Callithrix jacchus: one gene and its partners. The protein of the gene in region 3 purifies or fractionates together with the protein of the main gene of each other region. This does not show direct contact. Links are inferred from orthologs where the notes say so. Each region holds a gene or a part of one and is shown on either strand. Other genes may lie near its edges. The genes, in order: VAPA, VAPB and PRKAR1A.

Evidence for each region.
Region 1: the proteins of PRKAR1A (region 3) and VAPA purify together in Homo sapiens (affinity purification with mass spectrometry; 3 studies listed by BioGRID and IntAct, with this or other methods). This does not show direct contact. The link is inferred for Callithrix jacchus from reciprocal best matches to the Homo sapiens genes PRKAR1A and VAPA.
Region 2: the proteins of PRKAR1A (region 3) and VAPB purify together in Homo sapiens (affinity purification with mass spectrometry; 3 studies listed by BioGRID and IntAct, counting the BioPlex papers as one, with this or other methods). This does not show direct contact. The link is inferred for Callithrix jacchus from reciprocal best matches to the Homo sapiens genes PRKAR1A and VAPB.

What each region holds. Positions count from the first base shown.
Region 1 is NC_133514.1:52,977,503-52,981,157, forward strand, and holds part of VAPA (vesicle-associated membrane protein-associated protein A), read right to left. Parts: intron 2,499-3,655; coding exon 2,361-2,498; intron 1-2,360. UniProt on the Homo sapiens protein: Endoplasmic reticulum (ER)-anchored protein that mediates the formation of contact sites between the ER and endosomes via interaction with FFAT motif-containing proteins such as STARD3 or WDR44.
Region 2 is NC_133506.1:54,024,810-54,028,464, reverse strand, and holds part of VAPB (vesicle-associated membrane protein-associated protein B/C), read right to left. Parts: intron 2,475-3,655; coding exon 2,394-2,474; intron 513-2,393; coding exon 336-512; intron 1-335. UniProt on the Homo sapiens protein: Endoplasmic reticulum (ER)-anchored protein that mediates the formation of contact sites between the ER and endosomes via interaction with FFAT motif-containing proteins such as STARD3 or WDR44.
Region 3 is NC_133506.1:124,593,727-124,597,381, reverse strand, and holds part of PRKAR1A (cAMP-dependent protein kinase type I-alpha regulatory subunit), read right to left. Parts: intron 3,047-3,655; 5' UTR 3,041-3,046; coding exon 2,864-3,040; intron 1-2,863. UniProt on the Homo sapiens protein: Regulatory subunit of the cAMP-dependent protein kinases involved in cAMP signaling in cells.

The DNA of each region.
Region 1 (3,655 bases), on a different chromosome or scaffold from region 3:
CATCTATGAGTTGTCCAGTCATGCACCACATAACAACGTTTTGGTCAACAATGATCCAAACATATGATAGTGTTCCCACACAATTATAATGGCACTGAAAAAATCCTATTACCTAGTGAGGTTACAGCACAATACATTATTCACGTTTGTGGTTATGCCGGTGTAAATATACATACTGTACTCCAGTTATAAATCGTACACATACGATTTTTGTACAATACAGAATATTTGGTAATAAACTACATTACAGGTTTATGTATTTGCTATGCTTTTTATTATGCATTTTAGAGTATATTTCTTCTACTTATGAAAACAAAAAGTTAACTCTAAGTTGGACTCTAATAGGTCCTTCAGGAAGTATTCTAGAAGGCACTGTTATAGGAGATGACAGCTCCATGCGCCTAACTGCCCCTGAAGACTTTCCAATGAGACAGGATGTAGAGGTGGAAGACAGTGATACTGATGAATCCGCCCCTGTGTACAGGCTAATATGTGTGCTTGTGTCTTGGTTTTAACATACAAAGTTTTTGAAAATAATCTCATTTTAAAAAAAGAAAGCTAGTAAGGACATAAAAAAGATATTTTAATCTATGTATACACTGTGCTTATGCTTTAAATTATAAGTCAAAATTTTAATTTTAGAGTTTATGAAGTAGTTACGGAAAGCTAAAATTAAAGAAAACAATTTTAATAAACACAACCTAAGTGTACTAGGTCTTCCCATTCACTCACCACTCATTCGCTGACCCACCCAGGACAACTTCCAGTTCTAGAAAATCCATTCATACTACGTGCCCTATACAGGCATGTAGGTTTTTATCTCTTCTGCCATCTTTTTGCTGCAACTTTTCTGTGTGTAGTCATGGGTGTCCAATCTTCTGGCTTCCCTGGGCCTCACTGGAAGAATTGTCTTGGGCCACACACAAAACACACTAGCACTAACAAGAGCTAATGAGCTATTTAAAAAAAAAAACTCAAAATATTTTTAAGAAAGTTTACAAATTTGTGTTGGGCTGGATTGAAAGCCATCCTGGGCCACATGCGGGCATCAGGCTGCAGGCTGAACAAGCTTGGTGTAGATTGTTTAGCTGGAAGAATACTTAGGATTGTAGTATAGCCACATGCTATACAAGTCTGTAGCCTAGGAGCAACAGGCTATATCATATATAGATTTGTGTAAGTACATTCAATGATGTTCACACAACTAAATCACCATACACATTTCTCAATATAGATCCTTAAGAGATGCATAACCATACTTGTGTATTCTTTCTTAACCATCAGAATTTCAGTTCTAATATTCCAAGTATTCCTACTGGCGGTTAAACAGAAAAAGAGGAAACTAGGAATTGGAAATATATGGAAAAGTTTGCAAAGAGGCCATGGGAAGAACAAAGGAGATAAAGGACATAAATGTGAGGCTACATTCTTAACAACAGGAGAGATGGATAAAAATGGACTAAAGAAGTTAAGAGGCTAAAGTCAAGAGTACTGTCATAAACTATCAGAGGCAGAATTAAGGTCTTAACGTATGAATTAAGAGACAGGATGTAAATAACAAGAACAAGGCCACCTGAAAATTTTTTTCCCCACTCTTAACAACTAATTTACCGTTTCTCTAGGATCATGATTCCCAAAAGTAAATAATTCCCAAATCACAAAAACAAAAAAGTATTAAACGTTTAGATAAAGGATAATTTTTTTAAAGCCTTCGTATGCATATCATCTGCAAAACCAAATCAAGGTATAAACAATCTGTTAAAACGGTGGGGCTGGCTGTGTGTGGTGGCTCATGCCTGTAATCCCACAATTTGAGGGACCGAGGCAGGTGGATCACCTAAGGTCAGGAATTTGAGACCAGCCTGACCAACATGGTGAAACCCCATCTCTACCAAAAAAAAAAAAGATTAGCCAGGCATGGTGGCAAATCCCTGTAATCCCAGCTACTCAAGAAGCTGAGGTGGGAGAATCGCTTGAACCAAGAAGACAAGAGGTTGCAGTGAGCCAAAACTGTGCCATGCACTCCGGCCTGGGTGACAGAGAAAGACTCCATCTCAAAAGAAAAAAAGAATATGCTCCCCAAATCTCAAAGAAAAAAATTACACCAACTTCATAATGTTTACATTTATATTGTCCTGCTCACTATTGAGATTTTAGTAAGTTCAGAAGTTTTTTAGAACAGAATAGTTTGTGTGCATGATTTTTAAGTGCTTTGTAGTTTCACTGTTAATTTCAGGCATAGTTCAATTCCCTCTACTTCATATAACACACTCACAATACCTCTTATCAGCTAGATATCTACATTAACTTAATCATTATTACTAGTAGACTCCTAAGTCTGTTAGCTCCCTATAACAAACCTTCTGTTTCTCCTGTTTGAACACACTGAGTCCCCTGGGGTCATCCTTCGTGTGATAACTGGCAGGTGTGGCAACTGTGTTGTTGTTGATGCTGCTCATTGAAGTGACAGTCGGAGCAGTCCCTGGTGGAGTTACACCCTGAGATGGCATGGGAAACATATTCTCAGATTCTCACCGAACTCTGATTTCTTCTGCATATTGGGAATGACTGACACAGAAAGCATTAGGTTCTAAAACATTAACACTTTACTCTTTAAAAATGCATTAATGCATAAGAAACAATACTAGCAAGTAATAGCTATGTTAAGGCAAAAAGTACAAAGTTTCTGAACTCGCTTTTTATATATTTCCCAAACAAAATCAGTTTTAATCTATTGCATTATGTAGACTTATTAAAGGTACATATTTTATTAAAATTTATGCCAGCTTTATGTTGTTTTAAAATGAATACCATCTAATCCTTTGTGACTCTTCATGTTTTTTTCTAATTAGTAATTGTCAATGATCTGAAAAATAAGCACTTTCATGTCTTCTTACCTTTGATAACACTCAATCTGAACATTTTTTAATAAACCTCTCTTGTATTTAAAGCCTATCCCCAATACAAACACTCTCTCACACACGTCCCAGGCCAACAAACACACTTAAAGATTCACACAACCACTAACTCCATAGTTCTCTTCTTTTCTTCTCAAATGCCTTTAATAGGTAAAAGTAATACTGTATTCTACAAACCGGTGGGAAAGAGATTTCCCTAATTATACTTACTCATATCCCATTTGTTCTGTCTCAACAGAAAATAAAGTATATTCAACCATAAAATGTCTTTATAGTAGTAAGACCCCTGAAATCCCTGTTCTTTACAGTTCCTTCAGTCTTCATTAAAAAAAAACTGGCATTTTTTTCCTAGAAAATATGTCACCATCAAATGTCATATGGAGGACATAAATGAAATGCAATACATTTAAGAAATTTAGAAAATGTCAGAGTTAAGAAATTTAGAAAATATCTCAAAATTTCTTTAGAATTGAACACAACTGAATAGATCATAAAACTTCAAAAATAACAAACCACATTCACTCCTTAAAAAACAACCACTACCACTAGTTGGACATTAGGTATTTAATAATACAGAGTTGTCAATTTCCAAACAGAGCTAATAAGTCAAAGAACCCTATTTTTTACAATAGTCAGTACTTTAGTATCATGTGCCTCCAGCTGTCAACAATACAGGGAACATGCTGAATGGCTTTCAGTACTAGCACTGACAACAACTCAAGTGAAGACAGTAGGGG
Region 2 (3,655 bases), about 71 Mb from region 3:
TCAAAATAAAAACTGCTATTTTGGTCTCAACATTTATTTTCAATTTACACTAATGGAGAGTGTGAGATTTTTGTTTTTTTTTTTTAAAGGGGACAAGGGCTTAAACAGTTGAGAACTGCTGATCAAGGGACAGTGGCTCTTAATTTAGGCAGATCCAAGGACCCTTTTGAGAATCTGATGAAAGCTATGGAAATTTCTTCCCGGGGAGAAAAAAGATAGACAAATGCCAAAAGCAAAAATAAATCTATATATTTACTGGTTCATCAACTTCCTCATCCAAGATCCTAGTGAAAACGCCCTTGTTCTCTGTAGCTTACCAGAAAATAAACTATTACCTTGAACTGCTTGTTCTCCTCCCGTAGCCTCTGAACTTCACCTTGCAGCCTCTTACATTCTTCCATAACCTTCTTAACTTCGGCGTCATCCAAAGAAGAACTCAGAGACTTAGACACTGTTGGTGTTTCTGTCTTTGATGCAGTTGTGGATATAATTTTATTTATTTCTACATCATGCTGTTAAAAAATAAATGAAAGCCTAAGTGTCACCAACCATGTAATAAAGGAGACTTTTTTATGCAAAGTAGTTCTCAGCAAACACCAAATGTAGTAGCATTTTATCCACATTGTAAAATGTCACATTTACTTTTCAAATGGATCACTTTATCTAGTATCTTAATAATCTAAAGCAACTGGGCTCTAGAAATTATGGATAAGAGAAAATAATGAAGTTCGGCTGAGACTAATACTTCAAAGAAAGAGAAAAGGGGCTGTGTATGTTGCACTATCAAATTCCTGTCATGCAAAACTTAGCATACTGTAATTGTGCAAGCTCAGGAATTATTAGCCACAAATTACTGTCACCATAAAGATGTGAACATCCCTAAGATTGCCTTGGTGGGGATAGGAGGCTTGGGAGAGCATTTACGCCGAGGGCGATTTATTTTACCAACTTAGCATTTGGAAGCTGGGATGAAGATGAAACAAGCTCAGTGTCTGCAGTGTTTCAATCTTGAGAAGCTACATACTCCCCTCATGTCCCCTGCCAAGACTGAGCTATGAGCCCCTTCTTGAGATTTACTGGGATGAGAGCCAGTCAGTAGAGGGAGGGCATGGGAACATGAAATTTGTCAGGGAAAGAGTAACTAAGGATCACTGACCTGGGTAGCAAACTGAAAACCAGGAATCTAGCTCTACCCATCATTTTCCAGATGAGAAGAGTGGGCCCTGTAAGGCAAGGTCCCAGGCTACAGAGTCAACCTATCACAGAGCTGAGGCCAGAATACAGGTTTCACAACTTCCAAACTGACCTTCCTGTGACAGGCTGTACACTGGGAAGAGGGAAAAATGACCACTTAAAGAAACAGGGTAATGATAGTGGTAAGTGACTGAGCAGAAAGAAAATACCAGGTAGTTTGACACAAATCAACAACATCCCTGCAGATCAACATGGATGATGTTAACAGAACGTTTTGGGACACTGCTATTCCCAACTCCAGCTATTAACCTCTAGGGTAGTTTCATATGCTGCATGTTTTCAGTTTTGGTGTTTTTATGACAATTAAAATGTTTCTGACTATGCTGAAGGGAAGCCCAAATGAGCATTTCAGTTACAGTCTCCTTTCTTCAACTGGTCACAAGTGAGGACCATGAAAGAGACCATGAGCAGACAGCCTAGAGGATGGGGCTCCTGCCTTCTCCCAGGTAGGCAACACAGGAGTGGGATCATTCTCAATGGGGGGTTGATATTGACCTCCAGGACACGTGTGGTAACATCTGGAGACATTTTTAGCTGTCACAACTTGGGAGTACTACCGGTACCCAAAGGGCAGAAGCCAGGGATGCTGCTATTATTAAGAGACCTTGCAGTACACAGGGCAACCTCCAACACCAAGAATTATCCACCCCAACTGTCAACAGTGCTGAGATTGATCCTCACCTAAAAACAATCTTTGACTGAAGACATAGATAGGGTAAAAGGGGTAGGGAGGCTGACAAGGCACTCTGTAGAACAAGAGAACCTGAGAGCTTCCCACCTGTCTATCAAGCACCATAATAAAGGGCAAATTATTCCCTGTTTGACTTCACCCACTGTTTAACAGCAACCTATACCTTTGCCGGGCCACAAAAGCTCTTTGGGATTTATGACATCGCAATGGACATTGGGCTGCACTTTTCAAGGGGAAACACTGCGTCAATCAGTTGTCTTTCTGCGAGTTTTTCAAAGGTTGATTTCCTAAAGGCCCACTTATTTGTTGACTTCAGCTTATTTTTTTCTTCAGACATCAGAGAAAGGAAAATAATTTGCCAACTTAAATCTTGTTTTTTGCAGGAGATGGTATGCAAATAAGTATCAGCTTGCAACATTCAATTATTGTTAACTATAAACATACTTACTGGTTTATCATTCTCTGCTGGCAATTCAAACACACATCTAAGTTTTGAATCCATAAGGTCTTCTGGTTTTGCCTCCTTCCACTAAAACAATTTAAATTTAATAATCAAGATATTATAAAGCTGCTAGAAGAATAATTTTCTTCCTATGACAATTTCAGAAAAATACTCTTAATGAGAAAACCCCAATGTATATCAAATAAAGAACTAAAGTCTGCTGAGATTTCAATATTTGTAACATGACAAGAGTAAATACACTTGCCTTCTTGAATATTTATTACACTTCACAAACCCTGAAGACTTGCTGCCTGACTCCTCAAAGTCAACCAACGCTCCCCATGTTGCTACTCTGTGGGAGAGGCCAACCACTGAACTGAAAGGAATCCTCTAAATAATGTCTGGCTGACCACAGGTAACCTTAGTTCTCCATATGAAAATACAACTTATTTTAGATTGGGCATGGTGGCTTATGCCTCTAATCCCAGCACTCTGAGAGGCTGAGGTGGGAGGACTGAGGACTGATTGAGCCCAGCAGTTTGAGACCAGTCTGGGCAACGTACGGAGATGCCGTCTCTACAAAAAAATTAAAACATTAGCTAAGCATGGTGGCACATGCCTGTGGTCCCAGCTACTCAGGAGGCTGAGGTGGGAGGATTGCTTGGGCCCAGGAGGTAGAGGCTGCAGTGAGCCAGGATCATACCACTGTACTCCAGACCAGACAACATTGAGAGACTCTGTCTCAAAAATAATAAATAAAATTTAAATGCATATCCTTCTTAGAAAGTGTAAGCACATACTATCTGAGAGTGGTTTTAGAACCACTCTGCCAACCTCCAACAAAACGCAATCATTACCAAATTCCTCCTCTGACACTGTGGCAGTGTCTGGGCTGTATCTACCCCAAGGCCCATCTCCACCTCTCCAGGCTGTAGTGAGAGCATCTTCCTAGCTAAATTCCATGTTCTAAGAGGATGTGCTCCTGATTACTTCTCCTCTTGGCAGCAGAGGATGGGAATTTCAGGGTATTCTAGGATTATAGACCAGCATAGCAGCAAGGTTATGATACAGAAAAAGAAGGCAATTCCCACCCTCCGTGCCTCCAACCCTTCCCAAAACTATGCAAGAGGCAGCTAGTGTAACACAGGTACCAAGAACCAAAAGTGGGGAATGATCTATACATCTGACAATAGGGAATTGCCACAAAAATTATGGCAGATCCGCTAAATGCAATAGCATGCTGCCACTCAAATGATGCAGAAGGGCAT
Region 3 (3,655 bases):
CCTCAGGACAGCCCCTCCCATCACACGCCCAGAGGCCTAGAAGGGAAAAATGGTTTCCTGGGCCATGCTCAGGGACTCCTGTACCCTGCATCCCAGATGCTTCAGCTCCAGTCTTGGCTAAAATGGCCCAAGATATAGCTCTGGCCATTGTTTCAGAGGGTGCAAGCCCCAAGCCTTGGCAGCTTACACATGGTGCCAGGCCTGCGGGTGCACACAAGTCAAGAACTGAGGTTTCGGAACATCCACCTAGATTTCAGAGGATGTATGTATGGATGTCCAGGCAAAAGTCTGCTGCAGGGGCGTGGCCCTCATGAGAGAACCTCTGCTAGGGCAGTGCAGAAGGGAAATGTGGGGTTGGTGCCCCTACACAAGTCTCCACTGGGGCATTTCCTAATGAAGCTTGAGAAGAGGGCCACGATCCTTCAGATTCCAGAATGGTAGATCCACCAACAGCTTGCACCATACCCTTGGAAAAGCTGCAGACACTCAATGGCAGCCCAGAAGGGTGGCTGTACCCTGCAAAGCCACAGTGGTGGAGCTGCTCAAGGCATGGGAGACCACCTCTTGCATCAGTGTACCCTGGATGTGAGACAAAGAGTCAATGGAGTTCATTTTGGAACTTTAAGATTTAATTACTGCCTCGATGGATTTCAGATTTGCATGGGGTCTATAGCCCCTCTGTTTTAGCCAACTTCTCCCATTTGAAATGAGTGTATCTAATGCCCCCAGGAAGTATCTAACTTGCTTTTGATTTTATAGGCTCATAGGTGGAAAGGACTTGCCTTGTCTCAGATGAAACTCTGGACTTGAACTTTTGAGTTAATGCTGGAATGAATTAAGACTTTGAGGGACTGATGAAAAGGCATGATTGTGTTTTCAAATGTGAAGACATAAGATTTGGGAGGGGCCGTGGTAGAATGATATGGTTTGGACGTGTCCACACATAAATCTCATCTCGAATAGTAGTTCCCATTATCCCTATGTGTTGTGAAAGACCCCATGGAGGTAACTGAATCATGGTGGGGGGGTTACCCTCATGCTGTTCTCATGATAGTGAGTCCTCATGAGATCTGATGGCATTATAAGGGACTTTTCCCCATTTCACTCAGCACATCTCCTTGCTGTTGCCCTGTAAACAGGATGTTTTTGCTACCTCTTCTGCCAAGATTGTAAGCTTCCCAAGGCTCCCCAGCCACGCTGAATTGTGAGTCAATTACACCTCTTTCCTTTATAAATTACCCAGCCTCAGTATGTCTTTAGTAGCAGCATGGGATAGGACTAATAGACTAACATACAAATTAACACTTAATAAATAAAACAATAACCTGTTAAAAAGTTGAAAATCTAGTTACCTAAAGGTACAGGTATCTATATTCAACCCTGGCTAAAGGAATATACACATGTCAACAAAGACCCTTGAATTATAGTAAAAAGCATGTGGAACTGTAACTTTAATTATTAAAAGGTAAAAAAACCAACACACATTAAATCTAAAAATCCCATCTGCAAAGAAACCATTTTAATAATTATTTATTGCTTTCCTACCTTTGTAGTTTTTAACAGTACTGTGGCAACTACAAGCTTTGAAACTAGCACCACACATTCAACACTCCCTATAAAAAGATACACACTTAATGTCTCACCAACTTAATCCTCTCATTTGATGGTTTCTATTGATGTCCAAAGAAGAGGGATCACCTTACAGTGACCCATTTCAAAACCAGATCTCCAGGAACGCACTTGATTTCAAAACAAGGTACGACTATGGCTTAGCTCTACAATATTTCCATTATTTGGAAATTGCATATATAAAAGAAAGCCAGAGTATCTATTATAATTCCAAGACAGCAAAGCAACATTCACAGTGACTAGTTGTTCTTTTTTTTAATTATTCTGATCATGGTACTAAACACAAATTTTAACAATCAGTTTTTAAAGAAAATAGAATAACCTGATCATTGAGCTACCCAAATACTTTTTAAATCTTAGTACAGATTTTTTTACTAATAAACTATGCTGATAAGAAACTGTAAAAACCAATGGAAAACAATACAAATATTTCTATTATACAATTAGATAATCATATATCAAAGAAATGTCTCTGTTGATTCAAAATCATTTTGAACCACCTCAAAACTCCCACATCCACAAGAAAATCTGTAAGTTTATCCCACTGATTTACAGAAGCAAATCACATAAACTATTCAAAACATTTGGTGATCCAGACATTTTAATTCATCATTTCTTGAGGGAAATGAATTGAAGCACTGTCCTTGATGTAAAATTATCATTTTACTTAGAAAATTAGAAAAGCATACGCCACATATGTGAGTCACAACTGACCTACATGCAAGGAGAAAGAGCAGCAAAGAATAAAAACTGGATTAATTTTTTTCAAGGGGAAACAAGTCATGACCAATAATATGGAGTAAAATTTTTGAGGACCATTAATCTCACTATCTATATAGTAATTCATCAGAGATATATTCTATATTAAAATGGACTTAATATAATTGAAAATTTCTGATACATCAGTCACAAGCTAGATTCAAATGTTTCCTTATACTAGTTTTAAAAACAGGGTAAGATTTATTACCCTTACCTGCTTTGTTCAAAAAGGGAGAAGTATTAACTATTTTCAATTACTATAGAATTTCCTATTCATAGCACTGCTAGACTACTTCTGATTAGTTTTATACATTAATTTTAAAAGTTACAAAGAACTGTTTGGAAACCCTTCGTTACCCAACTACAGTTAGCATACAGGTTCATTTTCTGATAAATCTACTAATTAATAATTTTACAGTTATTAAATGTAACAGTGGTCACAATCATCTCATCATCTCCCCACATTTATTTTTACCTTCTCCAACCTCTCAAAGTATTCCCTGAGGAAAGCCATGGGTCTCTCGGGTCGAGCAGTGCACAACTGCACAATAGAATCTTTGAGCAGTGCTTGAATATTGTGCTTCTGGACGTAGAGCTCACATTCTCGAAGGCTGCGTGCCTCCTCGCTGGCGGCAGTACTGCCAGACTCCATGGTTCTCTGAGAGAAAACACACACATATGCTTGTATAAACTATAAAGCAAAATGCCAGTCTGGCATTTGACTTGCTACATTCATTAGGCATCTGATTCATAGGGATTTTTTTCTACATAGATTTTGTTTTTAAACAAGGAGGTGGGGACTAAGGAACAAAATATGTACAGAATTAGCATTATTCCAAGCAAATGTTTCATTTGGTTACTGCTGCAGGACCTGTGCTCTGTATACAGCAGTGAGAGTCAATAACCTCAGCTCCTGGGAGGAAGTATGAGCCACTATCCTCTGCAGAGGCGGGTGCTGAAGTCAGGCCCTTAAGGGAATTTCATTCAGTTCTCCCTTGCAAAAGAAATCATGATGATGTGGGAAGTATGTAAACAGAACAGAGAATTACAAGGGCACACAAGTCAACTCTAAGTGAAAGCAAGTAAACACAATGAAGAACATCGAACATTCTCCATATGTAACTTCTATCCAATGGGAGTGTCCTAATGTCACAGAGCAAACCACTGGAGTGAGAATCTGATTAGCCAATTACTAGCGTAATCAAAATTTTAAAAAAATACACAAGAAAATTCAGATGAGTTTTAAAAGCAACCTTTTATTCCACAA